2 linked regions of the Anolis sagrei genome follow. The protein of the gene in region 2 interacts with the protein of the main gene of each other region in a biochemical or structural test. Links are inferred from orthologs where the notes say so. Each region holds a gene or a part of one and is shown on either strand. Other genes may lie near its edges. The genes, in order: STAM2 and USP8.

The links.
Region 1: the proteins of USP8 (region 2) and STAM2 form a complex in vitro, tested with the Homo sapiens proteins (3 studies listed by BioGRID, with this or other methods). The link is inferred for Anolis sagrei from reciprocal best matches to the Homo sapiens genes USP8 and STAM2.

The regions. Positions count from the first base shown.
Region 1 is NC_090021.1:204,398,303-204,413,870, reverse strand, and holds the start of STAM2 (signal transducing adapter molecule 2), read right to left. Parts: upstream 6,871-15,568; 5' UTR 6,736-6,870; coding exon 6,696-6,735; intron 1-6,695.
Region 2 is NC_090029.1:32,017,640-32,033,680, forward strand, and holds the start of USP8 (ubiquitin carboxyl-terminal hydrolase 8), read right to left. Parts: upstream 6,934-16,041; 5' UTR 6,752-6,933; intron 4,138-6,751; 5' UTR 4,062-4,137; intron 1-4,061. UniProt on the Homo sapiens protein: Hydrolase that can remove conjugated ubiquitin from proteins and therefore plays an important regulatory role at the level of protein turnover by preventing degradation. Converts both 'Lys-48' an 'Lys-63'-linked ubiquitin chains.

The sequences.
Region 1 (15,568 bases), on a different chromosome or scaffold from region 2:
CAGAAATGTTCACTTTATCCATGAAAGCTCTCACTGCGAGGTTTCCAGACAGAGATTGGTAAGGTTTTAGGCCTAGGAGATACTTTTTTTTCTTAAACAGAAAGTGAACCAGAAATGACATGTGGGTCACCTTCTATTATTTTTTTCAAAAGGCCTTTTGTGATTTTAAAATGTTCAGAAAGAATTTCCTAAAGGGTGTTTGAGGGCACTGGATGACGGAAGTTGGAGACGGGTTTCCTTCAAGATCTCATGAGGGACAGCATGCCCCATTGAGCGTTGGCCATCCATATTAAACCCTAGATTGAAATAAAGTAATAGAATATGGGAGGTAAGCTAAGCATGTGTTTTGAAGTAAGACACCATGACTGAAACTGTCTGATGTAATATACACACACATCTGTGGTTATTAGAAGCCCTCTGAAACCCTCTATAGCCAGACCAGAATTGAGGAAAGATCTAGAGACATAGACAATTCCTCAAGTAACATAGTATTAAATCACTGAAGTCAGTAACAGTAAATTCATGGGCCCCATGAGAGCAACTGTGCCATGATCCATGACAGCTGTCCATGCCTAAATTTAGTATTTACACTTTCATGTGAATTTGGAAACTGACAATTGATTTAACATTCTGCACTAGCTGAAGGTAGTCTTGTGTAGTAAAACACCACAGTAGTCTGGTCCTAACATAGTCAAAACAGGAGTAACCAAAACAGGGTGCTGTATCAGCTGTGACCCCTAATTGGCATTAGGCATTTGTGGCAATCACAACTGCCATCTGTACATCCAGAGATAGCATTAGATCATGAAGATTTCACTTTTGATCTATTGACTTTTAGTTTTACAGAAATAGATGATCTCATGCTCAGGAACAGCTGATCACCTCTGTCCTCCCTTAGTTATAGTATCAGTATCTTGTTGGATTATATTTCAGACTGTTCACCTACTCTAAAACTGTTCCTGAGCAACTATTACAAGGTTCTGCTGCTGCCCTCAGATTAGCAAACAACATACTGATGACACATTAGTCTGACTCTCTAGCTGACCTCCCAGCGGCTTGGTGTAGATACTTAACAGATAAGGTAAGATGGATCTACCATAAAGTAAAAAGTCATGAAGTAGAACAAAAATCTTTCAAAATTACCAGTGGAGTTTGTCCTGTTAGAACAATGGTTCTCTCCTATCTCCAAACAAGAATCTATGTGGATTCTTTCTATGTTTCATTAAAAACAGGTCTCACCTCCCTTTCTAGTATCGTGATTCAAAATGGCATGTTGGACTCTAGGTTGTAAAATGTCCAGAATAGGGTACAGATTTACAATTGCTTTTTTTCAGGGAAGTAGGATTTCCTGAAAGAGAATTCCCTTCCCCTAAAAAGTATGTTAACCACCCCTATAGCCTAAACAGTAGGTTTCATCCTGACAGCTCCTAATATCCTAGAGGAATAAGGATCTAGAAAACAAGTGGTAAATCTCAAGCCTACAAGTAGCTTGTGCATATCCTCAGGTTGCACAAGCAAAAATGTATCCAAACATAAAGAGACAAGATAGCTTCCCAGGTTTGTTTATTCCATGTCTGTCAAAATATAAAATAGACTCAGTATAACAGCAAATGAAATACTAATTCCTCAGTTTATTTTGTTTTTGTAACATTTTATAAATCAAAAGCAAGCAATTTGCTTACATGTAACAGAACAATTCACTGGTGTAAGGTTTTTATAATGTTGACAAAGGAGAACAGAAATCGTACCAGAAATCAAAGTCCATTTGCAGTTAGCTCTCTCTATATTGGCCTTAGAAAGCTACATAACGAGATCTCTAACAAGAATGCATTGTCATCTGTAACATGGCTTCTGAGCTTCTCTAGAAACATCTCTGTTGTCAAAATAGTATCAAAACAGCTTCTCCTGAAACATACTGGTATTTCAATGAAAGTTTTAAAATAATATATTTACAGAATCCATATATGTTTATACATTCTTAGCATTCCTTGCATATAATCCTCATATTTATCAGATCTTGACTTCTTAGAACATCTTTGTGTTTTGACAACGAAAATTAAGGTTTTGCTACTGAAGTCTATGGGATATGAGTAACCATGCATAGTATTGCTTCGTTCAGGTAAAAAACCAATACATCTAAGCTTTTAATAAACTTGTGAATGTAAAGAGCAAACCTGTCTGTTTCTTGCTTGTTTAACCGATTTTCAAAAGCTAAAATATTAAGCACATTACATATATTTGTAAGCACACATCTGATTAGAACTTTTTGGTACTGTTCCATTATCCAGGCGGAGGCCATTAGGGGGTAATAGAGAGAGAAGGGCTGTCCATTTTAGGGCGGGGGACAATTGAAGGGGGAAAACCATTTTCCCCTTTTTTCGCTGGTCATTCCCCCTCCCCACTTCTTATATCATAGACGAGCGGAATAACAGGAAAACAGGAGGAAATGGTTTTACTCCTTCAACCCACCCCAACCCCCATAAAATAGACTATCCTTCTCTCCCTAGCACTCCCTAGTGGCCTCCACCCAGATAATGGAACAGTACTGAAGTTTTTAATAATTTTGTATTGTACAAAATATAGTCACAATCTTTTTAAAAATGTCGTTTTAAGTTCATGTTTCATGTGTGTGTGTGTGTGTGCATGCATGTGTGAGTGTTGGATGAACTGCAGTTAGTTTGAAATGTGCTCAAGTTGATTGCCATTTTCTAGTTTTCCACCATGCTGCAATATTCTTGTTAGATTCTAATGACTTTGTTTCCTGGCTTTTTAACTACTATTTTGATATAATTAATATCTTTCTTTATGTTTGACTGTTTAAATTGCATATTAAATGTTATTTTAAATAATATAATGAATTACACTATACTCTTCAGTGTCAAATCTGTTAACACATACAAGTTAGGGTCATTAACACTGCAGTCCTGTGCAGAAATAAGCTCCTAGACTCTTAGGTGAATGTACATAAGGACTAAAACATACTTTCATAATTCTTTTTACACTAACAACTTGTTCCTGTTCCCAGATTTCAAATTATCCACCAACCAGGAAATACAATAGCTAATAGCTGACTACAAGTGATGTCACTGTAAGTTATGAAGAAAAGTGTTCTCTTCTGTGTGAAACCGTATGACCTGTTGACTAATCGATTCCAGGCCCAGCCCCTTTCAGGAACTTTGGGCTTTTTAAGATGGAATATGAACCACCGAGATCATTCATTATCTTAAAGATCAAATACTTATGTAGTCAGCCTAGTGACAGCAGTTACAATATAGGTACAAAAAAGTATACCGATAGCGATAAAGCTCTTTAAAGTCATTTTCGAACAATTATTGATAGATAAAACAGAAAACAAATAAATCCATTAATTTCAACTCAATGCTTTCAGAACATTCTGTGAAACTGTACACCACAATGCATTTTAAAACAAACATATTTTGTTCTTTCAATCTAACTATGGAACTAATCTATGTTGTTAAATCAAGACAGCCATCCATGCCAGATCCCCAACCTCCAAATCAACTTAACCCTCTAAACTACAAAATATTGAACAACAACCTTTAAGACATAAGGTTCATTTCTGGAGCCAATTCAAGGACTTGGTGTGTGCCAACATAGCCTTAAATCACTCAGAGTGAAAATACTTGAAAGTACATAACCTGTCACATGCCGCAGGTGAGCAAAGGAAGTGGCAGAGATTACAATACTTATAAGGCCATTTCTGCAAGGAGGAAAAATCCTATTCTGCTTGGTTTTTAATGTAATAATGTCATAGTGGAAAGTTCAGGTCAGCTTTGGACTGACAAAGGCATAACACTTCTTTTATACATGTGTATCATACAGTGAATGCAAGACCAGCATAAGACGCTTACTTTGAAGTATAGTTCTGCTTTGTGGTTGCTTGAGTACACAAGAGATAACAGTCCAGCTGACAAACAACCAGAGCAGGAGTCAGGCTAAAAACCTGACTCACCCTTGAATTACTCTTGGGCAAATCATTAGCTCTCAGGTTCAGTTCTACATTTGACAGCTGAGAAAGAACTGCCCTTGGGTAGCTCCCAGCCAGCAGAACATTTCACAAAGATAGTAGAAATTCTAGAGATGAAGAGACCCATTTCCATGTTGCGCATGGGAAACGGGCCAAATATTTATAAGTTGGAAGAAACAACATGAAATAGTTGTGACCCAGTTTCAGGAATATAGAGTACAGTATTTCCGGAACAATAATCTCTTAATCAGAAAGTCATTTCCTCCCAAACCGCCAACCAAAACACAACAACCCAAACCCATGCCAATAGAAACAACTCTGTGCTATGGTAATATGGTCTGCATTCTGGGAATATGGTCTGAAATGATACACAGCCACAACCCCAAGAAAATGAGTGACCTCCTTTTTGGCCAGTGCAAAATATCTGAATGGAGGTGGGGATTATAATTACTTATATCCTGCTTTTATCGCGATTGAGACACTTGGGGGCCCATTCACCAGGAAACTCTCTCTTTGCCCCAATGACTCAGGAATTGTGTGGCTGGATATTGGCACAGCATCCCCTGAGTCATGCCAAGGAACCCTGGTTACTACTACTATTACTAATGTCCCACTTTCCCCCCAGATTGGAACTCAAAGCCATACAACAACAATATTTAAAATGTTCAAAATCCACAAACCACAACAGTTAAAACAGTTAAAACGATTAAAGTTAAAACTTAAAACATTCATCATTAAAACACATACAAACCACTGGTCATATCTAGTGTAAGAGGGACCTTACAAGTGGTGCTTCTGAAATGTAGAATTAATGCAGTTTGACAGCACTTTGGCTCCTTCCACACAGCTGAATAAAATCCCACATTATCTGACAGCGTGGACTCAGGGCCCTTCCATATGATTCCAGGTTTTCTGTTTATCCCAGACAGTGTGAACTCATATAATCCAGTTTGAAGCAGAAAATGGGATTCTGGGATATAGGGCCTGTCTGGAAGGGCCCTCAGATATTCCAGTTCAAAGCAAATATTGTGGGTTATTCTGCCTTAATATTCTGGATGATATGGCCTATGGTCCCTTCCACACAGCTGTATAAAATCTCACATTATCTGCTTTGAACTGGGTTATATGGCTGTGTAGAAGGGTCTTTAGGCTTCTGTAGTGTGATCCTATGGAATCAAGGAATCTGTGGCCTAATGAGGCACTTACACCTTTTAGCAGATGAAGCCTTGTAAAACCACAACTCCTATGATCCTCCAGCACAGAGACTCCTTCTATACTACCATATAAAATCCAGGTTATCTGCTTTGAACTGGATGTAAACTGAGATAATCCGGTTCAAAGCAGATAATGTGGATTGTCTGCTTTGATAATCTGGATTATATGGCAGTGTAGAAGGGTCCTGAGTCATGGCAGTTAAAAGTGGTATTGCTGTGCATTAATCTTACAATGTAGATGCGCCAGGCCCCTTCCACATGGCTGAATAAAATCCCAGGGCCCTTCCACACAGCTATATAACCCAGAATATCAAGTCAGAAAACCCCACAATATCTGCTTTGAGCTGGGATATATGGCAGTGTGGAGTCAGGTAACCCAGTTCTAAGCTGTTATTGTGGGGGTTTTGGCTCACAACAGTCTAGTCACTGTGGGATTAGAGAAGTCTTTGCTCTCCTGACACTTCATCTTCCCTTTGCCCTTTGCCCCAAAGAGGACCAGCCTTTGTGTTTGAGGTGCCTTCAAATCACCTGCCAGATGAATGGCCTCAAGGACTCCTTAGGTCCCTTCTACCTAATAAAATCCCACATTATCTGCTTTGAACTGGATTAGATAACCCACCTCAAAGCAGATATTGTGGTGTTTTCGGCCTTGATATTCTGGGACATAGGACTGTGTGGAAGGGCCCTGAGTCCACACGCAGATATTGTGGGATATAGGGCTGTGTGGAAGGGCCCCTTGAGTCACTGTCGGCATAGAGAAGTCTTTGCTAGGCTGACACTTTGTCTTCCCTTTGCCCCAAAGCCTTTTTGTGTGAAGTGCCTTCAAGTCACCTGCCAGCCGAGTGGCCCCAAGAACTCCATAGGAGCTTCTTAGGCCCCTTCTACACAGCTGAATAAAATCCCACATTATTTGCTTTGAATTGGATTTGATAATCTAGCTCAAAGCTGATATTCTGGGACATAGGACTGTGTGGAAGGGCCCTTGGTTATCCAAGTCCACACTCAGATATGGTGGGGTTTTCTGCCTTGATATTCTGGGACATAGGGCTGTGTGGAAGGGCCTTGAGTTCACACTCTGATGTTGTGGGATATTCTGGGGTATAGGGCTGTGTGGATGGGCCCCTTGAGTCACTGTCGGCATAGAGAAGTCTTTGCTAGCCTGACACTTTGTCTTCCCTTCGCCCCAAAGGGGACCAGCCTTTGAATTGGATTAGATATCTGCTTTGAATTGGATTAGATAACCTAGTTTAAAGCAGGTATTGTGAGATTTTCTGCCTTGATATTCTGGGATATAGGGCTGTGTGGAAGGGCCTTGAGTCCACACTCTGATATTCTGGGATATAGGGCTGTGTGGAAGGGCCCTTAAACAAGAAGGGGCCTTGGCAGTTCCTTCCCTTGAAAGAGACCTGGCAGTGGCCTCCCTCCCAAGTGCTAACCAGGCCAGGCCCTGCTTGGCTTTCTTCCCTGGGGCCCTTCCGTGGCCCTCGACTCACCCACATCCTGCTCGAAGGGGTTGGGGGCGAAGAGCGGCATGGCGGCGGCAGAGGGAAGGGGAGGCGAAGAGACCCGGCTGAAGGAAGGGAGGAAGGAAGGAGCGACTAGAGACGCAGCCCACCAGCCCCTGCTCCTCCACTCAGCCCCGCCCCTCTCCTCTCCTCTCCCCAACTTCCTCTTCCGCCCTCCGCGAAGGACCCGCCCTCTCGCTTCATTGCCGTCCAGCGCGCGCCTGAGGAGACGCGAAGGTCGGAGGAGGAGGAGGAGGAATACGGCTTGAACATCGCGTCCCCCCTTTTACGTTTCCCTCGACACTAAGGGAAAATGTCGGCTAAGGAGGCAGGCAATACAATAGACACCTAGCACCGGGGTCCTAGGAAGGAGAGGCGCATAGAGATAGAAGAGTGGAGAAGAACACTTAATTGATTGGCGTTCTGCGGAGACAGGCAATACATAGACACCTGGCTTCAGGGTCCTAAGAAATAGAGGCGTGTAGACATAAACATTGTTGAGAGCGCTTCACTATTTGCCTGGAAGTTAAAAGAGTAGCAAGGCAGCTGACTGCATTTGCAATCCATTGGTAATATAGGGCTCTTCCACACAGCCCTATAACCCAGGATATCAAGGCAGAAAATCCCGCAGTATCTGCTTTGAACTGGGATATATGGCAGTACACTGCCATATATCCCAGTTCAAAGCAGATACTGTGGGATTTTCTGCCTTGATATCCTGGGTTATAGGGCTGTGTGGAAGGGACCATAGTAAGGCCTGCTGTTTTAAGCAGTCAAGGCATTCAAGTTCCAGTGAGGAGAAGGGGAGGGGAGTTCAGAACAAGATGACACTTTGGGGGTTGTGCAAATCTATACTATTTGCCAGCACTTGTAACTGTCGTGGCTCAGTGCCATACAATCATGGGAGTTGTAGTTTTACAAGGTCTTTAACCTCCTCTGCCCAAAAGTGTTGGTGCATCAGCAAACTACAAAAATGAGACTTTGGGGCTGTGCAAATCTGTACTGTAGATGAATGCAGTTTGCCAACACTTTAACTGCCATGGCTCAGTGCTATAGAATCATGGGAGTTGTAGTTTGACAAGGTCTTTAACCTCTGCCAAACTACAAATTCTAAAATTCCATAGCATTGAGCCATGGCAGTTCAAGTGATGTTGAACTGCATTCATTCTCCAGTCTAGATGCACTTTAAGCAAATCCAATAGAATTCAGAATAAGTTTTTCTTTTATGCTGGGGTCTCTAACAGCCATATGGTGGGAAGCTGAAACCTAAATTGATAAGTATGTGTAATAGCTAAGTGGGCCTCCTAGTGGCGCAGCGAGTTAAACCGCTGAGCTCCTAAACTTGTTCACCAAAAGGTCAGAGGTTCGAATCCAAGGAGCAGTGTGAGCTCCCACTGTCAGCCCCAGCTTCTGCCAACCTAGCAATTTGAAAACATGCAAATGTGAGTAGATCAATAGGTACCGCTTATGTGGGAAGGTAACAGCGCTCCATGCAGTCATGCTGCCCACATGACCTTGGAAGTGTCTTTGGACAACGCTGGCTCTTCGGCTTAGAAATGAAGATGAGCACCACCCCCCAAGGTCGGACACGACTAGACGTAATGTCAGGGGAAACCTTTACCTTTACTTTCTAATATATAAGTAAGAATAATTGCCCCCCCCCCCCAAGAATATACCGACTGTAGGATTGTTTCCCATGCAATTACCCTATTGTGATTCTGCCCTTTCAGTCCACATACCTCTAACTTTGGAGATGGTGAAAACCGGGATATATTGCGGTCATACAACATTTTAATAAAATCAAGATGCCTTTCTACGCAGCCCTACATCCCAGAATATCAAGGCAGAAAATCCCACAATATCTGCTTTGAACTGGGTTATCTGAGTCCACACTCAGATAAAGCGGAATTTTCTACCTTGATATTCTGGGATGTAGGGCTGTGTGGAAGGGCCTCAGGACATTTTAAAAGCAGTTGAAGAAGTCAAGACAATGGGACTAATCAGGACTGTCTTCCCAAGTCAGGCAGTTAGAGATTATTTATTTATTTCGCATATTTGTATCCCGTTGTTCTCATCCCCCGGAGGGGGACTCAAAGCGGCTTCACAAGAGGCATTCATTCAATGCAAACAACAGTAATAAATGATAAAAGCAATTAAAACAATTCATTACTGCTTTAAAATTACTAAAACATTGTTTAAATCACACAGGTTTGAAATCATAGTCCAGGTCTGTCCATTGTCATTCACACAAACTGGGTCTCATTCTAAATTTCTGCCTCTACTGTTCGAACGCTTGGTCCCATAGCCAAGTTTTGAGTTTCATTCTAAAGGACAAGAGGGAGAGGGCCAATCTAATGTCACTGGGTAGAGAGTTCCACAGGCAAGGGGCCACCACTGAGAAGGCCCTGTCTCTCGTGTCCACCAGTCACGTTTCCAAGGATGGTGGAACCGAGAGCAGGGCCTCTCCTGTTGATCTTAGACTTCACAGTGGTTCATAACAGGAGGATACGTTCAAATAGGTAAGCTGAGCCAGAACCTTTCAAGGCTTTATAGGCTAAAGCCCACACTTGGAATTGTGCTTGGTAGCAGATTGGCAACCAGTGGCATAGCAGAGGGGTTGTATGCTGTCTGCATGTCGCTCCAGCGAGCAACCTGGCTGCCATCCATTGGACTAGTTGGAGCTTCCAGTCTTTAAAGGCAACCCCATGTAGATTCTATTGCTGTTTTACACTGAAGAGCTGGAGTGGAGGTCTGAGGTTCTGGAAGAAGGCTTTGACTTGAAAAGTTATTTTGAGGTGTGTGTACACTGCATTAGACTTTTGGAGTTGTGTAAATCTACACTGTAGAACTAATGCAACTGGGTACCACTTTTAACTGCCATGGCTCAATGCTATGGGATCCTGGGAGCTGTCGTTTTACAAGATCTTGAGCCTTCTCTGCCAAAGAGTGCTGGTGCCTCGCCAAGCTATATACCACATAGCATTGAGCCATGGCAGTTACAGTGGTGTCTAACTACATTAAATCTAGATGTACCCTTGGTCTCTTTGCTTAGATACAAGCCTGCATTGAAGGAAGTTTGAAATCTTGATCCCAGATCCAACATTAGATTATTGAAAAACTGAGGAGGCGAGAAAACTTTGCTTAATTATGTAAGAGTTGATCACAACTCACATCAAACATAGAGCATTTTATATTCATGCCATAAACAGAGTGTATGTTGTTCAGGAATCAATCCCAACATTGGTATTTAGCTGCATTGGCAGTGCCAAATGTTGTAAAGAATGTAGAATGGAAATGCAGAGAATTCCACTCAGTGCAGTGCTATAAAAATGCCTTAATCTGACAAATACATTTGCAAACCAGTTGTCCTTGTCTGCTGGTGTGACCAGGTCTGGGTCAGATGACTATTGCATTACAAGAGCAGCTGAAAACACAGCACGTGCAAAATGCAGAAAACATCAAATTCCTGCTCACTTTGGCATATGATGCGAATAGCCATGGCCTTTGTGAGATTATGGCCAGAATCCTTTTGGTGCCTTAACAGTCTGCTATGCTGATGTCAGGCACTTTCTGGAGGGATGTGGCGCAGCAATGGGGGGGATGGCAGGGAAAGCTGTCTCTATTGCCAAGGAAAACTGTCCTACCACTCCCATGAAGTTCAGGAGCCAGCAAAAGAGCAATTTCTTCTGACACATGACTTCTGATGCTATCTCTTCATTCTCACAACCGCTAAAGTCAGTTTTTTTCCTGTTTCCACAGCACACTGTTATCAATGCTTTCAGCAGTGTAGTAGTGCTGGCCAACAGTTTCATGGTCTATGCATTCATATTCATGGCCATCTAGATATCTGACTACTCTTACAGCCAACCGCTTGATGTGATGGTGAAGTTACCAGGTTTTCAGTCTTAAAATGTCTGATGTGTTCTACAGCAGGGCTTCTAAAAACTTCCACTTATGGCCCCTTTTTTTCCTGAGAAATTTTTACACGATCCTGGGTATACAGGGATATGAAATAAGTATAAAAACCAAACATGTGTTTGCAAATCTGTGTTTGCAAGGCTTGCTAAGCAAGCTGATTTTTCTTCTTATGGAGTACAGCTGAAGCATCTTCTGTAGAGCCCACTGTTAATTTATCAGACCTTGCTGCAGAGCTCATCAGTGTTCCTGTTTCCCAAATTTGTATTTGGAAAGCTGACCTATTACCTTTGAACAACTATTTTCAGACATCAAAGAATAAAGCACGGTTTCTGGACTATCTTTTCTGAAGCAAATTGATGTTTACAATGTTATGATGCAGTGTTGATACTGTATAAGCCGACTTCATTGACATAAGTTTGTTCACTTTGTCTCGTCGTCAGAAATTTTAAAGAGACTGGAAATAAAAGAACAAGCAGCAGCCTATAGATTTATGGAAGAAATTGAAGTGATAAGTACATTTGTATAAGAGATATGTACAAGGATCTACAGAAGAATGTATAGAACAATTATACTTTTTGACACACTTTTAAAAAAGATGTTCAGCAATTAGAAAGCTACAGTTAACGCAAGAAGACCTTTCCCTAGGTAATAGGAACCAAAATCCAAATCTGATGTTACTAATCAAATTTAAATAAAAGCCTGGCACCTGACAAATTTTTCACTACCATCAGTTGAAATTCATTTTTAATTTGTGTGGGAAATGTAAAGGCAGGAGAATATATGCAGAAAACCTTCATATTAGCCATAAGACTATTGCTTGTTATCCAGAATCTCCATAAGTTAGGTTTTATGGGAAAGATGGTGCATTTGTAGATGCAGCTGCCAAAGTGTGGCGAGTAATTTTTGCACTATCCAATTTCAGACAGAAAAGTGGTTTAGAATACTATTACTCAGTAGTTGTGTCTTTCACACTAGCTGTTTCCCAAAGTTTCTGGCTTGATACAAAACTTGGTGACATCAACTGCAAACTCACCATACTCTGAAGGAACTGTATCCCTGTATAACCTTGCAAGCAAATTTTGACAACACAGACAATTAATGCAAAGCCAAGCAATGTGAAATTTCAAAAGTTTAAACTCTATCAAGCAAGTTATAAAATGCTTTAAAGTGTAGCATCATTATAATACAATATAATATAGTTAAAAGTACAGCAACTCTGTAAAAAATGACTCCCTGAAACCACTCATACTATTAAATGCTTTTTAATTTCATCTGGCAGTGAGAGGAGAGAAAAGAGATATGCTATATTTCCTCTATAGGTGGCAATATTGTTCCAAGCCATAACTTGGCCACAACATTCAAAGCACAGCTTCTACTTTATACTCCTGGCTGTATAAAGTTCATCACTTTTTTCCCCAACCTGCTCCAGGATTTCTTACTGCAAACTTCTTGAAGTTGGGTTTGGAATATGAGCAGAACAGGGAGGAAAAAATGGAAATAGTAGTATAATGACCATCAGGATCATAGCATGCCTTTGGAAGCCTTGGATTCTGGAAGTAGTCTGTTCCAAGGTCCTGCAGCTCCAGTTTGCTTCTAGCTTATCAGGGGGGACAATGTAAATGAAGTAGTGCAGTAATATACAGCCACCATAACCTGGGCATATTATACAGAACACTCCGGATACACACAAAACCAATAGGTACATTTTCTTCTACCCACATCCAACAAAATATGTCTTTTCTAAGGATTTTCTATGGCCTCCAGGGTGACTCTGTGGTAACATCTAACAAAAGTTGTTCATTTCAATAGGATTCCTTATTACCCAGGGCTCTATTTCCACGGTAAGTTCAGGAACATATCCCCCATGATGTATCTCAATACAGGAGAAAACATCAAGTTGTCAACAAGAATGCTTCAGGGTTTTTTTTGCTTAAAAATTGTAGAAAACCTTTTTTGTCCACTGAAACGTTATGCACGCAACTGCAAAAACAGCCTGTGAGCATGTAATACTCTTATTAAGCAGAGCTCTGTCTGTGTAGTAAAGGAAAGTGGTATTTAGGTATTTCCCACTTAGAAAACAAAATACACATCTCTAAATCATTTGTAGCCTTTTTGATTCATTTTATGTATCTGAGTGTATGACATCTAAAGTGAAGGCTTCTCCAGCCTACTTATTGCTGGACAAGAGAAGGCCTGCCTCCTCCTCCTTCTTCTTATTAATTTTATCCTATGAGATGGAGACTATATGATGGAATTCTGCTCACAGGGAGAGGGAAGCGTAATTCTGAACCCTTCGGTAAGGTTTCTATTGGGGTGCATCTACACTGTAGATTTTAACTGCCATGGCTCAATGGTATCGAATCCTGGGAGTTGGAGTTTGGTGAGGAACCAGCACTCTTTGGCAGAGAAGGCTACAGACCTTGTAAAACTACAAATTCCATGATTCCATAGCATGAAGCCATGGCAGTCAAAGTGGTATCAAGATGTAATAATTCTGCAGTGTAGATGCACCCTCTGTAAGGCTGTAATCAGAGCTTGCTTCTCATTGACATCAGCTCCTACCAGCCTCCAATGAGAGCTCCAAATGGAGCTGTCCAAGGTGCTTCTGGCTTTGCTTGGATTTTGCCTTACATTCATTTGATCTTGGCTTTGCCTTGTTCTCCTTATCAGCTCCCAAACATGTGTCTATCACACCTCTGCTCCAGGGCCCTTCTATACTGCCATATAATCCAGAATATCAAGGCAGATAATCCAGATTATCTGCTTTGAAGTAGATTATCTGTGTCTACACTGCCATATCCTCCAGTTCAAAGCTAATACTTTGGATTTTATACAGCTTGTAGAGTGGCCTCAGTTGGAGATCAGTTTCTGATAGGCAGAGAAATTACATTTTCTATCATTCCAATACATAGGGGCACTTCAAATCTATTATTTGTTTTGTATGAGTTCCCTCTGCCGCCCAGACTAAAGTAAGTAACGCTTTGGCTTCATCAGTGGTAGTCAATCTGGTGTATATCTGTGTTTGATAACAAGAGTCATTATATTTGATTATCCTGTCACCTGTTTTTACAACTGTGTTTGTCATTTCGTCTATCTTACTGATCCTCATATCTCCAGACTAGCCTTGAAATAGTTGTGGTGTGGGCACTGAGAGATGCATGTTTATTAATGCATGACATGACTAAAGCAAATGTATAGTATCAATGTGTTACCTCAAAGAGAGGATAATAACAAAATCTGTCATATAATAATAATATAGCCTACATGGATGAGATTGTGGAACACACATTTATATGGCAGACATGCGTTCATGTTTCTGCATGTAGGTGTGCAACCCGTTATGTTACTTTGTAAAAACTTTCTTGAATGATATAATGCTAGGTTTCAGTGTGAGTAATGAGACATTTTAGGGCTTCTCCTAACAAGAATGGTGATTAGTCTGTAGGGAAAAGAACGATCTGTAGATATTCCTGTAATATATTTATGACATTGTTGTGTTTATTTTAAGACTCGGGCCCAGGCCACAGTGTGGGGCCCACACCCTTCAGTAAGAGTGCAAGTCTCTCTCTTTTTCCTCAGGGAAGCAGCTGCCTGTCTTCAGCTGGACTCACCGGCATTCCTGAGCGAAGCACCTGCAGATCCGCCACTCTGCTTCTGTAGACAAATGGGGGGGGGGGGCACAGGGTTGCTGTCTGTTCAGGGAGGAATGCCAGGGCCTGTCTGCGAGCTGTCACTCCTTTGCATTCCTGTGATAAATTTTAAAAGGGCTGGTGCACTCCCCAAGGTGTGACAGTTCTTACCCCTATAAGCCTTGTCCTTAACCCCAAGGCATCTGCTTATCATGCTGGAATGTTTTCATACGCTCAGAAACAGAAGGTCTTAACATGCCAGCGCTGTTTGATCTTGTAAGGTGCATGAGCCAATAAAACAATTTATGCTAAGTGCCCTTTGCTCCAGCAGGGGAGAAAGCACATCCCATTTTTCAGATTAAACCACTGGAGCAGAGCTGAATCCCACTGAAGTCCAGCATGGCTTTATGTAGCTAAGCACACATTTGTCCACGAATTTATTTGGTGGGGAATAGCGAACAATAAACTCCTGTTGGTACTGATTCCTTATCAACACATTTGTGTATGATAGACAGAAATCATACACAAATGTGTATGTGTTGATCATACACATTTGTGTATGATAGACAGAATACCCATTAGTATTAGGGGTAATAGATTATAATCGAGAGGGAATTCATAAAACACCATCATAAAAAATATAAAACAAAAAACCACATAACACAGTATAAAAACAACAATCAAACAAACAACCGGTAGTCTGAAATAATAACAGTTTCTGGGCTCAGGCGGGATGGTACAAATCAATTATGAGGACAGGGCTGATGAATAAAGTGCAAATGCCAGATGACAAAATTAGGGATAGAGGGAAATATGAGGTGGAATATTATATCTCTGGGCAGAGAACAGTAGCAAAGTGTAAGGACTAGATTTTGGGTCATAGCTGGGGGGCAGAATTTTCAGGGGAACCGTACAGTGGAAATAAATATGGTTCAGTATGTCCAGTTCATAAAAAACCAGGTATACTTTGCTCATTCATTTATAGGTTCCAAGCATCTTGTTAAAAAAAATTCCATGGCAGAGGTATTAGAATTAAAAATAATACCTTGAAGAAATGTCCACGTTTGTAAAATCTGTTACCCTTAATTTATCAACTAAACAAGACTGAGAACCTCTTCTGCTCAAGTCAATGTACTACTTCTGGACTGAACCTTCAGCCTGCCCTAGGAAGACATGGTCCTCAGGGAAACATTGCCAACAACTCTCTGAACAAAAACAAAAATGTTCAGTGTCTGTCTCTCCTAGTGAAATGTGTGCCCTTTAGCTCTTTCAGAAAACACAAAGAGCAGTGGCTTTATTTATTATTTAAACCCT
Region 2 (16,041 bases):
CATTAGATGAAAAGAAAATGTTATCAGTGCTTCCCCTTCACCTACAATATTTTACCGACTGTTGTGTAACTTCTTTTGATTTACGACAAAAGTTTTCACAAACAAACAAGGACTAAACTCAGTTGTTAAATAACAATTTAAAAAAGTTTTCCAAGTCCAATTTGTCTATATATATCTGGTGTGACTGTGACAGCCGTGCAAATATGCATACAGTGGGCCTTTGTTATCCGCTGGGGTTTGGATCCAGGACCACTACCATTTTCTCTCATCAGTTCTTCGGATACAAAAACCTATGGATGTTCAATCTCATTTATTTATTATTATTTATTTAAAACATTTATATTCTGCCCTTCTCACCCTGAAGGGGACTCCGCATATACACGGCAAACATTCAGTGCCGGGACACAAATTCACATACAATACATAAACATTAAAAAAGTATTAAAATATTTAAATACACCATTTAAAGCCGTCTTAGTCATCCGCGTCAAATCTAACTGGCTGGTCATCTTTCCTATTGCTGCTTTATGGCCCTGTCCCGAAAGCTTGGCCCCACAGCCAAGTTTTTACCATCCTTCTAAAGGACAGGAGGGAGGGGGCCGACCTGATCTCACCAGGAAGGGAGTTCCATAGCCGGGGAGCAATCACCGAGAAGGCCCTGTCCCTCGTCCCCACCAATCGCACCTGTGACAATGGTGGGACAGAAAGCAGGGCCTCCCCAGAGGATCTTAATCTCCGTGATGGTTCATAGGAGGAGATGTGTTCTGACAGGTAATTTGGGCCGGGGCCGTTTAGGGCTTGATAGGCCAAAGCCAGCACTTTGAATTGTGCCCGGTAGCAAACTGGCAGCCAGTGGAGTTGGCATAACATGGGAGTTGTGTGCTCCCTGTGTGCTGTTCCAGTTATTAACCTGGCTGCCTCTTGGACTATTTGAAGCTTCCGAGCAGTCTTCAAAGGTAACCCCATGTAGAGTGCGTTGCAGCGGATGACTAGGACAGTTTTAAATGGTGTATTTTAATATTTGGATAAATGTTTTTTTAATGTTTATGTATTGTATGTGAATTTGTGTACCGGCATTGAATGTTTGCCATGTATATGCTGTGCTCTGCCCTGAGTCCCCTTCGGGGTGAGAAGGGCAGAATATAAATGTTTTAAAATAATCATTAAATACAATAATGTAGAAAAAGATGGCAAAATCAAAGTTTACTTTTTAGAATAAAAAAAATTAAAAACACTTTTTCTTGAGTGAAACTGCAGACACGCTTGAAAGTGCACTTATTCCCGAAGAACATCTCAACACAGGCCATATAATAAAGAACAACTGAACAATCCAGATTCAAAATCAATAAGACTTTGGCAACCATCTTTGATGGATTATTGGCTTTTCTTTTTATCTGAAGTATTTATAGGGTTACAGACTCAAATATCTGAAAGTGCTTACTATGAGCTACACTTGTTAAAATATATTTCTGTCTAATATGGATCTCACAGGACTGAAAAACACAAGTATTTATTATCCAAAGGCACTAATCCCAATATTTCCCATCAATGCCACAAACTTCTGAAATTATGACCAGTTTCTGATAAGTTACTACAGAGTGCTAGTGCTGTATTACTAAAGCATGTTAAGTTTTCTAACTACCATACAAAGATTACAGTATTCAGTCCCTCTTGGCAGAGTTTATTGCCTAAGTATGCATAATGTCATTTCATCAAATTATTGATGTTCTCCCACAAGCCAAGCCTTACTTTCTGGTTCCAATGTACTTGAAGTGACATAACAAAATAGCAAAATGGTTTCTAGCACAAGAGGTTCTCTGGGCCCTTTACACACAGCCCTATGTCCAGAATATCAAGGCAGAAAACCCCACATTATCTGCTTTGAACTGGAACTGTGGACTCAGACAAATCAGTTCAAAGCAGATATTGTGGGATTTTCTGACTTGATATTTTGGGATATAGGACTGTGTGGAAGGGCCCTCAGCAGCTTACAAAAACATTGAAAGCCTGCAGTTGTCTTAGCCCAAAATACTTATTTGTATGTCATAATGACTGTGAATCCTTTAAACAATCACAGTAAAACATCTTGATATATACTGCAATGAAGTGGGCCAAGTTCAAAGACGAATACTTAACATTCTAATTATATTATAAGAGGGCCCTTCCACACAGCCATATAACCCAGAATATCAAGGCAGAACATCCCGCAATATCTGCTTTGAACTGGGTTATCTGAGTCCACACTTTCATATATTCCAGTTTAAAGCAGAAAATGTGGGATATTATTCAGCTGTGTGGAAGGGGCTGGAGAGATCAACAACTTTAGAAATTCTCAGGGCCAGTTCTCTGCTTTTGGGACCCCCCCCCCCCCCACCCATGGACTGCTCAAAATATTCCATTTTAGGACTACAACTCTTACAATCCCTTACCACTGGGGCTTATGGGAACTGCAGAAAAGTTCTCAATTTTTCCAAACTTTGTGTTTTTTGTTTTTATTTTAAATACAACACAACTGTTTGGTTTGCTCCCGACATGACAAATTAAAGAACTCTAAACCAGAGTCCAGGATACTTCTACAACTTCGCAAATCACAAAGCACCAAGCCTCTTTCACTGAAAGCTCTGTGGTTGGCTCTACACTGCCCTATATCCCAGGATCTGATCACAGATTATCTGTTTATCCCAGATAATCTGGCAGTGTAGACTCATATAACCCAGTTCAAAGCAGATAATCTGGGATCAGATCCTGGGATATAGGGCAGTGTAACTCCAGCCTGGTTTAACAATCCAGAACGAGTCGCTTGAATACTTTGTGGTGTAATTACTTAACTTACATTCATCCGAATTCTACTGACATCATACAGTGTGACAAGCCTGCTAAAAACCACATTCAAATGATGAAACGTCTCTAGTAATCACTTCCAATTTTGAATTTCCATAACTTTTCTATATGTAGATAGCCACCAATTTGAGTTTCCAAATGTGACCTATTATGACAAGTACATGCCCATAAGTGTGTTTAACTCTGGGAACAGGGCCTGTGCCTATTGATAGTTCAATTCTACCGTGTAGACCAGGCAAGGGCAAACTCCAGCCCTTAAGGTGTTTTGGAATTTAACTCCCACAATTCTTTACAGCCTATTGGCTCCTAGGAATTGTGGAAGTTGAAGTCCAAAACATCCGGAGGGGCAAAGTTTGGCCATGCCTGGTTTAGAGGCTAGAACACTTGAGAAGAAAGTTCCTTTTTGGAGAGAATACACATTAAACCAGAAGTGGATCAATGGACAGACCATCCTTCTGTTCTGTGCCCCAGTCAAGTTTGGATGTAACTACACAACATAATTGTAACACTTGATGGGATAGGGAAGGCATGGGCGAACTTGGGCCCTCCCTCCAGGTGTTTTGGACTTCAACTCCCACAATTACCAACAGCCTCGGGCCCTTTCCTTTTCTTCTCCTTTTCTACTTAAGTAGCTGAGGGGAAAAGGAAGGGGCCTGAGGCTCTTAGGAACTGTGGGAATTGAAGTCCAAAACACCTGGAGGGAGGGCCCAACTTTGCCCATGCCTGGTGTAAATACACCTGAAGTTACTATATTAACTAGTCCAACGGGAGGTAGTGGGGCAAATTTCCCACACAGAACCCCCATGACCAACAAAAAATACTTAAGGCCATCCAATCCAACTCCCTTCATCGGGGCAAGAAAATGTAATCAAAGTCCTCCTGACAAAGAGCCATCCAGCCATAGGTAGATATAGCTAGATAGATAGATATTATTCACACAGAGAGCTATAGTATCATAGACTTGAAAGGGACCCTTACAGAAGGACAATGATATATTGCATGTTCCAGGGTGGGCAAACCAAACAATCTCCACGTCAACACTGACAAAGAAACAACAAGAAATACTGTTTACCCACAAGCAACAAGACATTACATATATTAGAAACCAACACTTTCTCTCTTTATTTTAGAGATCAACAGACTGGGCCACAGCAACGCATGGCAGGGGACAGCTAGTAAATAAATAAATATTAGAGAATAAAAGAATCTGCGAACCCCACCTCCTCCAAGATGAACTGAACCACCTAAACTGGGCTCTCCAGGCCAATGGAGACTCCACCTCAGACATCAGAAGAGCTGCAAGACAACCGAGAAGAAGCCACGAGAGTAAAGATGAAGATCCACCCAGAGGGAAAGTGTTCCTGCCATACATCAAGGGAACCACTGACCGCATAGGGAAGCTGAGGAGGAAACACAACATACAAACTATCTCCAGACCCACCAAGAAAATCCAACAGATGCTTCGTTCAGCAAAGGACAAGAGGGATCCTCTCACCTCTGCAGGAGTCTACCGTATACCATGCAGCTGTGGGCAAGTCTACATAGGGACCACCAAATGCAGCAGCGTTGCCCAAACACGAATCAAGGAACATGAAAGGCACTGCAGACTACTTCAACCAGAGAAGTCAGCCATAGCACACCGCACTATTTTAATCCTGCGTTCCTCCTGCCATTTCAGCACTTTTAACCCTGTACCCCATTGCGCTGGCCGGCCCAGTTTTAAAGTGTCTTGATGCATCGTTACTGTTGTTGTTATTTTGCTTAACTATTTGATTTGCTTTGTTTATTGTTGTGTTATGTTTTTACTGTATTGTGTTCTGAGGCTTCTGCCTGTGTAAACCGCATCGAGTCCTTCGGGAGATGCTAGCGGGGTACAAATAAAGTTAATAATAATAATAATAATAATAATAATAGCAGAGCACCTGAGGAACCAATCTGGACACAGCAGATTATTTGAGAACACAGAAACGCTGGACCACTCTCACAACCACCATGTCAGACGACACAGAGAAGCCATTCAAATACACAAGCATGTGGACAACTTCAACAGAAAGGAGGAGACCATGAAAATGAACAAAATCTGGCTACCAGTATTAAAAAACTCTAAAATTACAACAGCAAAACAGCAGAGAGGAAAGAACCAGGCACATCTTAACATCTCTCAACGAAAGATTCCCCCAGGCTCAGCCAGGCCTTCAAATGCTAATGAAGGTGGTCAGTTGAAACATTCACCCCTAGCTCCAGCAGACAAGAGTTCTTATTTATTATTTATTTAGTACACTTGTATACCGCTAATATCTCAGCCTAAAACGGCGACTCATTGCGGTTTACAACATTTAAAAACAACAATATTTCGATTAAAAATATAAAACACATACATATACAATACACAGTATTGGGCCACCAATACAGACCAATGCATCTCTTAATTAAAGTTATAATCCAGTTTCGTTGTCTGTGATTGCCAGTCCTTGATCAAAAACTTCATCGCATCGGATTAGCCGAATGCTTGCTCAAACATCCATGTTTTCAGTTTTTTCCGAAATACCATCAGCGAGGTGGCTGATCTTATCTCTATAGGGAGGGCATTCCAAAGCCGCAGGGCCACCACAGAAAAGGCCCTGTCTCTCGTTCCCGCGAGCCGCACCTGTGAAGCAGGCGGGATGGAAAGAAGGGCCTCTCCCGAAGATCTTAGGGTCCTGGTGGGCTGATAGGCCGAGATACGTTCGGATAGATATGTAGGGCCAGAACCGTTTAGGGCTTTAAAGGCCAAAGCCAGCACTTTGAATTGGGCCCGGTAGCTAATCGGTAGCCAGTGGAGCTGGTACAGCAGAGGAGTTGTATGTTCCCTGCGTCCTGCTCCTGTTAATACCATGGCTGCCGCCCGTTGGACTAGTTGGAGCTTCCGGGCCGTCTTCAAAGGCAACCCCACGTAGAGAGCGTTGCAGTAGTCAAGGCGGGATGTAACCAGAGCGTGGACTACCGTGGCCAAGTCAGACTTCCCAAGGTACGGTCGCAGTTGGCGCACGAGTCTTAACTGTGCGAATGCTCCCCTGGTCACCGCCGAAACCTGGGGATCCAGGCTCAGCGATGAGTCCAGGATCACACCCAAACTGCGGACCTGTGTCTTCAGGGGGAGTGCGACCCAGTCTAACACAGGCTGTAACCCTATACCCTGTTCGGCCCTGCGACTGACCAGGAGTACCTCTGTCTTGTCTGGATTCAATTTCAATTTGTTCGCCCCCATCCAGACCGTCACAGCGGCCAAGCACCGGTTCAGGACCTCGACAGCCTCCTTAGTAGCAGGTGGGAAGGAGTGACAGAGTTGGACATCATCTGCTACAGATGACACCATACCCCGAAACTCTTTGCCCCACCCTGGTCATTCCACAGATATATAAATCCTTTTTCCTAGTTCCAACAGACCTCACTACCTCTGAGGATGCTTGCCATAGATGCAGGCGAAACGTCTGGAGAAATGCCTCTAGAACATGGCCGTATAGCCCGAAAAAACCCACAAGAACCCAGTGATTCCAGCCATGAAAGCCTTCGACAATACAATAAAAGTATTCTCTTGCAGATTTCTTCACCTGTGAAGTGCCCTTGAAACCCAAGCTTCGGTGGGACAAGTCAGCTTTTGAACTCACCTTGAACCTAAGCCACACCGTGGAATTAATGCAGTTTGAGACCCTTTTAACTGCCTTGTGGAATGCTTGGGAGTTTCAAGTGTGCCCACTGAACTGGGCCGTGGCAGTTAAAGAGGGCTCACTTGAAACAGCTCTCGTTCCAATTGAAAGGCCTCCCTCTCTCCCTCCCTTGGGCCAAACCCTCTCTGGCTCTCTCTCTGAGGCGCAGAGCAGGCCTCTCCAGGCCCGGCAGGCCTTTCCCCTCGCTCTAGAGGAGGACTCACCCCGGCCCCGGCCTCGCTGTGCTTCCCTTCAGGGCTAGGCCCATCTCCCGGCACCCGAGCAGCTGAGGAAGGAAGGTAGGGAGGAAGGCAGCCCGAGCTTCTCTCGCCTCTCGTTGGCCGGCCGAGGCGGAACTGAGGGGCGGGGAGACGGGACTTCCGCGAAAGGGGCTGGGCCGCCGGAAGTGTCCGAAAGCGGCGGTGGGGGCCTCCGAGAGGGATGAGGTGTCCGTGGCGGGCCTGAAGAGAAAACGAGACGCCCGCGCTCCCCAAGGGACCTGGACGACAGGCGCGTCCGAAGCCTACTCAATAAGCAACACACTGTGGGGGCCTCTTTAAGTGTTTTGGACTTCGAATCCCAGAAGGCCCCGCGAGCCTGTCCAATGGAGAGGAATCCTGGGAATTGCAGTCCAAAACACAAAAGTTCAGAAACTGGCTTTTAACCCAGGATATAATAATAATAATAATAAGAAGAAGAAGAAGAAGAAGAAGAAGAAGAAGAAGTATTAACGTATTAATATAAGTATTAAGAAGATGTAACGGTGGTCCACGCTCTTGTTATATCCCGAATAGACTACTGCAATGCGCTCTATGTGGGGTTGCCCGTGAAGACTGTTCGGAAACTTCAACTAGTCCAGTGAGCGGCAGCCAGATTGCTCACCGGAGCGTCATACAGGGAGCATACCACCCCCCTGCTATGCCAGCTCCACTGGCTGCCGATTCAGTTCCGAGCACAATTCAAGGTGCTGGTTTTGACCTACAAAACCCTGTACGGTTCCGGTCCAGTGTATCTGTCCGAACGTATCTCCCTCTACATCCCGCCTCGGAGTCTGAGATCATCTGGGGAGGCCCTGCTATTGACCCCACCACTGTCACAAGTGAGGCTGGTGGGGACGAGGAGCAGGGCTTTCTCAGTGGTGGCCCCTCACCTGTGGAACACACTCCCGGGGGAAATCAGGGCATCATCATCCCTCCTCGCCTTTAGGAGAAGGGTGAAGACTTGGTTATGGGACCAGGCCTTTGGGCACTCGGGCAATTAAATCAGACAACCAGGCGAGTAAGACCAGCAGGATTGATGAAGTGGAACGTAAAACTAGATCTATGAGTAGCAAACGCTGACCATGCAAGAGGAGAAACTGGGTTTGTATTTGGTTTTATTGATTTTATGGTTATAATGTATATTTGGTGTTAACTGTGTATTGATGTAATTTTGTGTTGATTGTTTTTATGATGCAGGCATCAAATTGTGCCTTGCTTTTGTGAGCCGCCCTGAGTCCCCTTCGGGGTGAGAAGGGCGGGGTAAAAGAACCCCAAATAAATAAATAAATAAATAAATAAATAATCCTTTAGTTGTAAGAACTGGAACCATGAAACTGAGCTAAAGCTTTGGGCAATTTCCTCCCTTGTTTTCAGTTGCAGATTACCTTTTTATTATTATTATTATTATTAAAATGTCCTTATAGATGGGCCAGTTGGACCATCCCAATAACCTTCTCTGTCCTGCTTCAAGGGGGGATATCCACAAAGGAATCTTTGGGTAAAGTTTAGCCCGTACCTTGGGAAGTCTAACTTGGCCACGGTAGTCCACGCTCTGGTTACATCCCGCTTAGACTACTGCAACGCTCTCTACGTGGGGTTGCCCTTAAAGACGGCCCGGAAGCTCCAACTGGTCCAACGGGCGGCAGCCATGATGCTAACAGGAGCAGGACGCAGGGAGCATACAACTCTCCTGCTGTACCAGCTCCACTGGCTGCCGATCTGCTACTGGGCTCAATTCAAGGTGCTGGCGTTGGCCTATAAAGCCCTAAACAGTTCCGGCCCAAGATACCTAACTGACCGCCTCTCGGCCTATGAGCCCACGAGGACTTTGAGATCTTCCGGGGGAGGCCCTGCTCTCAATCCCGCCTGCGTCACAGGCACAGCTGGCGGGGACGAGAGATAGGGCCTTCTCGGTGGTGGCTCCTCGGCTGTGGAACACCCTTCCCGTAGACATGAAGCTAGCGCCCTCCCTGTTGATATTCCGCAGGAAACTAAAGACCTGGCTGTTTAAGAAGGCATTTGAACAAGATGTGCAATGATTGGTAAATTGACCATAGGAATGGAATAACGGAAATGATACCGGATTGTGGGTTTGACGATGAGATGACACGGAATGGCTTTGTAGTAATGTTGATGTTTTGATGAGGATGTTTTTGATAATGATGAATTGTGGATTATTTTACACTATGTCTTGTATTTTGCACCTGTTTTTCTATGTTGTACACCGCAGCGAGTCGCCCCTGGGCTGAGAATTGCGGTCTATAAGCGAAGTAAATAATAATAATAAATAATAAATAAAATCTGGCCCACATTTTCATTAGCACAGATCTAACAATGGTTGTTTAAAAAAAATCCCTTTTGATTTGGTCGTATCAGAAGTACACGTGCCAGCCAATTCCCAGGTCAAAACCCTCCGATTCTAGTATTTTCTCCTTATTTAGTAAGATCCAATCTTTTATCCAGCTTAGACCGCACACTTCGTAATAGAGGTTTAGATCTGGTAGACCTAGCCCTCCTCTGTTCTTCGCGTCAGTCAAATATCCATATTTTATTCTCGGTCTTTTCCCTTTCCAGATAAATTTTAATATTTCTTTATTCCAGGCGTTAAATAATCTATTGTTCCTAATTATTGGTGCATTCTGGAAAAGGTATAATAGCTTTGGAAGCTTTTAAACAGAAGCTGGATGACCATCTGTCAGGGGTGCTTTGAATACAATTTTCCTGCTTCTTGGAAGGGGGTTGGACTGGATGGCCCATGAGGTCTCTTCCAACTCTATGATTTAGCTGTGTGAAAGGGGCCTCAGGTGACCCAGGGCCCTTCCAGACAGGCCCTCTATCCCAGGATCTGTTTCCAGGTTTTATGCTTTAAATTAGATTATGTGTCCACACTGCCAGCTAATCTGGAATAAACAGAAACCCTGGAACCAGATCCTGAGATATAGGATCTGGAAGGGCCTCTAGTACAGACATTGTGGAATTTTCTGCCTTGATATTATTGGTTATATGGTTGTGTGGAAGGGCTCCGAGATCAGATCCTGGGATAGCGGGGTATTGCGGAAGGCCCCTTGAACCCTTCCACACAGCTGTATAAAATCCACATTGAAGAGGATTATATGGCAGATGTAGACTCAGGCCTGAATTTACTTTCTCTGCGATTTTGAGCCTGTTTGAGTATATTCATACTACTGAGAGTATCCTTTGACTATAAGTAAACTAGTTTACCAAGGTTACTCAGATATTCTATCTGTATGCGCTTTCAGAAGCACACGGAAGTGATCAGTATTATTGCTAGGGCAAGGTATCTGGAAATATGACTGCACTTTCCTGAAGGTCATGTTTACAACTTGATGCACTGCCTTTTTCCATCAGCATTTTCCATTTTGTACCAAAAGAACTGCAGTTAGATTTACCTACAGTCTAGTACAATTTTTGTAAAACTGAGGTTAAAATGTGTGATTTATTGCATGAAGGTTTTCAGTAATCAAAACAATTTTGAAATTATTTTGCACCGTTTTTACCATTCTTTTTTTACCTTTTGTATGTTTTAATCATATTTTGTTTTAATTTTCTTGTAGGCTGTCTTGAGCCCAATGTAGGGAAGAACTCAGGATTTACGAATAAAATAATGAATATTTGAGTCAACAGTGAACATGTCACCATAAAAGCTCTATGGCTATGCAAGCTTCAGTACAAAGATCAGTTCCTCCAAACACGTCATAACACACAGCACTAAATACAAGTTGGTAATTTAGTCAGTGTAATTAGGGAAAAGAGACTCCAGATCACAAAACGTTATAACTTGGTTTTATTAACTCGATTTTATGGCAGTATAGAAGGACCTTGATCTTCCTCCAGTCCAGTTACTTAAAAAACTGACCACCACACATTTGGTACCTTGAATGTTTCCCCTGTTTCTGGGTATATTTGGCAGATTGTTTCCAAAAATGCCACCAGTTTCCCCCCAGCAGTTCTGGTTCTTGAGACAGATGCTATCTAACAGTCACAATCTACTTGTCCATAGAAATCAGGATAACCCTATTTAAGAAACTAGAGATAATGCAGTCTATCTAGTGCAATTTTCTGAATCAGCACCCCAAAGAACCCTGGGAATAAACCTAAAAACCAAGACACACTAATATTTTTTTTGTTGGGCTGTTTTACATAGTTTAAAATTGCAAGCACTTGCACTGTTACATTATTATAATCTTTCGTTACCATTCTGGAGTCACCTATCTCTGCTTTTAGTTCCCTTCAGAAGAGTGACTTTAGCCTAGTCTGGGAAACAAAGCACTTCTGATGGACCTGAATAGCTTTGCATAAGAATGATTAATCTCACCTGTAAACTGGATCAATGTAAGATCTGGAACACAGTTCACTCTTTTCTCTACATTGATCAATGATAATCCAACTTGAAACTGACTATATGCATCTCTGAGCTGCTTTGAATCTCATTTGTGGAGAGAGAAAAATGGGTATAAACAATAAATAATAACGAACTTTCTTTAATGCACACAGCAATGGAAGCTGTTACTACCAAACTTCTTTCTGGATGGATTTTTACTGCCATAGAATCCAGATTATCTGCACTGAACTGGATTACATGACAGTGTAGATGAGACCTTGTCTCATACCCCTTCCACACAGCTGAATAAAATCCCAAATTATCTGTTTTGAACTAGAATATATGGCAGTGTCAATTCAGATAACCCAGTTCAATGCAGATATTGTGGGATTAACCACCTTAATATTCTGGATTATATGGCTGCGTGGAAGGGCCCTCAGACCCCTTATACACTGCCAGATAATCCAGATTATTAAATCAGATAAATCACATTATCTGCTTGGCAAACAGATATCTGAGACTAAGGTCCCTTCCACACAGCTGTCTAAAATCCACATTGAACTGGATTAGATGACAGTGTGGACTCAGATAATCCGATATTGTAGATTATCTGCCTTGATATTCTGGGACCCCTTCCACACATCTGAATAAAACCCCATATCTGCTTTGAACTGGAATATATGTCAGTGTGGACTCAGATAACCCACTTCAAAGCAGATATTGTGGATTATCTGCCTTGATATTCTGAGTTATATGGCTGTGTGGAAGGGCCCTGGGTTATATGGCTCAATGAAGGGACCTCTGTCTACACCAACATATAATCCAGTTCAAAATTGATATTGTGGATTAGGTGCTTTCAAAATCTGGATTATATGGCAGTGTAGAAGGACCCTAACATGGCTGACTTTGAAATCTATGGCAAAACCTGCCACTCTTTTCCGGAGCCACGGGGCTCTTCCCCACAGCCATTTAACCCAATATATCAAGGCAGATAATCCAGTGTCTGCTTTGAACTGGGAACTGGGTTATCTGATTCCACGCTGCCATATAGTCCAGTTCAGAATAGATGTGGGATTTTATATAGCTGTGTGATAGGGACCTTAAGGCCCTCCCCCGCCATATAACCCAGAATATCAAGGCAAATAAGCCACAGTATCTGCTTTGAACTGGGTTATCTGACTTTACACTGTTGTATATTCTGGTTCAAAGCAGATGTGGGATTTTACACAGCTGTGTGGAAGGCCCCCCCTCTCTCTGGGCCCTTCCACACAGCCCTATATCCCAGAATATAAAGGCAGAAAACCCCACAATATCTGTTCTGAACTAGGTTATTCGAATCCGCATTCAGATAATGTGGGATTTTCTTCCTTGATATTCTGGGATATAGGGCTGTGTGGAAGGGCCCAGAGAGAGAGAGAGAGAGAGAGAGAGGAAGAAGGGAGAGAGAGGGCAGAGAGGGGGAAAGGGAGAGAGAGGGAAGGAGGGAGGGAGAGGGAAAGGAGGAAAGGGAGAGAGGGGGAAAGGAGGGAGGGAGAGAGAGGAGGAAAGGGAGAGGGGGGAAAGGGAGGGGGAGAGAGGGGGGAAGGAGGGAGAGAAGGAGGGGGAAAGGGAGAGAGGGGGAAAGGAGGGAGGGAGAGAGAGGAGGAAAGGGAGAGGGGGGAAAGGGAGGGGGAGAGAGGGGGAAGGAGGGAGAGAAGGAGGGGGAAAGGGAGAGAGGGGGAAAGGAGGGAGGGAGAGAGAGGAGGAAAGGGAGAGAGGGGGAAAGGGAGGGGGAGAGAGGGGGAAGGAGGGAGGGAGAGAGGGAGGGGGAAAGGAGGGAGGGAGAGGAGGAAAGGGAGAGAGGGGGAGAGAGAGGGGGAAGGAGGGAGGGAGGGGAGGAGAAAGAGAGAAGGGGAGAAGGAGGAGGAAGAGAAGGAGAGAGCGGGGGAGGAGAAAGAGGGAGGGGAAAGGGAGAGAGGGGGGGCAAGGAGGGAGGGAGAAAGGGAAGGAGGGAGAGAGCGAGAGGGCGGGGGAAAGGGAGAAAGGAGGGAGGGAGAGGGAGCGGGGAAGGCGGGAGGGAGAGAGGGAGGGGTGAAGGAGAGAGGGAGAGGGAGGGGGAAAGGGAGAGAGGGGGGAAGGAGGGAGAAAGAGAGAGGGGGAGGAGAAAGAGAGAGGGGAAGGAGAGAGAGGGGGCAAGGAGGGAGGGAGAGAAGAGGGGAAGAGAGCAAGGAGGGAGAGAAGAGGGAGAGGGAAAGGGAGAGAGAGCGGGGAGGGAGGGAAAGGGAGAGAGGGAGGGGAAAGGGAGAGAGAGGGGGGGGAGAGAGAGGGAGCCCTTCCACACAGCTGTATACAATCCCACATTATCTGCTTAGAATCCCATTATCTGCTTAATAACAGTGCGGAGCCAGATAGCCCAGTTCAAAGCAAATATTGTGGCATTTTCTGCCTTGATATTCTGGGCTATAAGGCTGAACTCCCTCCCTCGGAGGCCGAACTCCCTCCCTCCCAAGGCGGGAAAAGCAGCCACCTTCAAACATGGCGGCTCCCTTGCTGGCTTCTGCGCCTGCGCGGATTTCAAATACTAATATCCCTCCGCCACACACTCCCTCCCCTTCCCCCCCCCTGCTTCTTTTGTGAGGCCTCCGAGATACAAAAAAAAATAATCCCTATCTGGAATAAGGAAAGTTGAGTAATAATAAGGAGTGAATATGTTCAGAGTGGTTCCTTTTTGCCAGGCGAAGGGATTTGGGGAAGGAGCAGAACCCTCCTCCGCCTCCTCCTGGCAGAGGCCTGTCTCGTGAAGAGCGCTCCCTGCCGGTGTCCTTCCGCCACAGCGCCGAGAGGGACTCTTTGGCGGGGCTTTTGGGCGCCTCAGAGACGCGGCGGAGGAGGCGGCGAAAGAGGCCTTCCTTGCTTGCTTCTTTCTCCGGCGGAGGCACGGTAAGCGGCGCCCGGCCCTCCCCCCCCCCCTCATTTCCTTCCTTCCTTCCTCTTCCTTTCCGCGGCCAGCCAAGCTTTTCCAGGTCAGTCGGCGCCCTTGCTGGCGAGGCCCCTGCTTGTTACCGGATGTGGAAGTGGATCTCTCTCTCCTGGGCTGGTAAAAAATAATTCCACTTCCCCCGGAACCCGGCGCCTCGTCGCGGCCCTCGCCTCCTCCTCGCTCGCGCCCAGCCAGGATTTCCTGTCAGGCGGGGAAAGGAAAGGCCTTCCTTCCTCCCTTCCTCTCTTCCTTCCTTCCTTCCGGGGAGAAGGCCCTCCTTTCCGCCGCCGCCTTGCCTCCACACTCGGGTCCCTCGCGAGGCCTCCCCGGGTGAACTAGGCCTCTCTAACTCCCCCCTCGCGCCGCTTTTCCTCCCCTGCTTCTGACAGGCTTGAGGCCTACCGTCCCACAGAATGAAAGAGCTGCAAGAGACCACCATGGGCCATCCACTCCAACCCCATTCTGCCAAGGAGCAAGGAAATCACAACCAAAGCCCCCCAGACAGATGGCCACCAAGACTGTTTCAAAGCCTCCACCACATTCTGGGGCAGGGAGTTCCACTGCTGAACACCTCCTCTCCTCACACTGAGGAAGTTCTTCCTAATGTTCAGGTGGAATCTCCTCTCCTGTAGTTTGCAGGCGTTGTTCTGCACCCTAGTCTTCAGGGCAGCAGGAAAAGCACAACTAAAGTCCCCCTAACAAATGGGCATCCAGCCTCTGTTGTCAAGCCTCCAAGGAAGCAGCTTCCTCCACTCTCCAAGGCAGTGAGTTCCACTGCTGAACAGCTCTCCTCACAGTGAGGAAGTTCTTCCTAATGTTCAGGTGGAATCTCTTTTCCTGTAGTTTGCAGGAATTGTTCTGCGTCCTATTCTTCAGGGCAGCAGGAAACGCGCAACCTAAGCCCCCCTGAGAGATGGCCATCCAGCCTCTTGCCAAGCCTCCAAGGAAGCATCTTCCTCCACACTCCAAGGCAGTGAGTTCCACTGCTGAACAGCTCTTCTTACAGTCAGGAAGTGCTTTCTAAAGTTCAGGTGGAATCTCTTTTCCTGTAGTTCGTTTCCAAGCCTCCAAGGAAGCAGCTTCCTCCACACTCCAAGGCAGGGAGTTCCACTGCTGAATAGGTCTCCTCTCCTGACAGCTCTCCTCACAGTGAGGAAGTTCTTCCTAATGTTCAAGTGGAATCTTTTTTCCTGTAGTTTGTTTCCAGCCTCTTGTTTCCAAGCCTCTAAGGAAGCAGCCATATAACCCAGGGCCCTTCCACCATGGGCCATCCACTCCAACCCAATTCTGCCAAGAAGCAAGGAAATCCAAACCAAAGCCCCCTAGACAGATGGCCACCCAGTCCCAGTTTCAAAGCCTCCAAATAAGGAGCCTCCACCACAGTCTAGGGCAGAGAGTTCCACTGCTGAACACCTCTCCTCTCCTCACAGTGAGGAAGTTCTTCCCAATGTTCAGGTGGAATCTCCTTTCCTGTCGTTTACAGCCGTTGTTCTGCGCCCTATTCTTCAAGACAGCAGGAAAAGGACCACCAAAGCCCCCCAGACAGATGGCCACCCAGCCTCAGTTTCAAAGCCTCCAAAGAAGGAGCCCCCACCACATTCTAGGGCAGAGAGTTCCACTGCTGAACATCTCTCTCCTCACAGTGAGGAAGTTCTTCCTAATGTTCAGGTGGAATCTCTTTTCCTGTAGTTTGTTTCCAGCCTCTTGTTTCCAAGCCTCCAAGGAAGCAGCCCTTCCGCATAGCCATATAACCCAGGGCCTTTCCACCATGGGCCATCCACTCGAACCCCATTCTGACAAGAAGCAAGGAAATTACAACCAAAGTCCCCCAGACAGATGGCCACCCAGTCTCAGTTTCAAAGCCTCCAAAGAAGGAGCCTCCACCACATTCTAGGGCAGAGAGTTCCACTGCTGAACAGTTCTCCTGTCCTCACAGCTCACCTCACAGTGAGT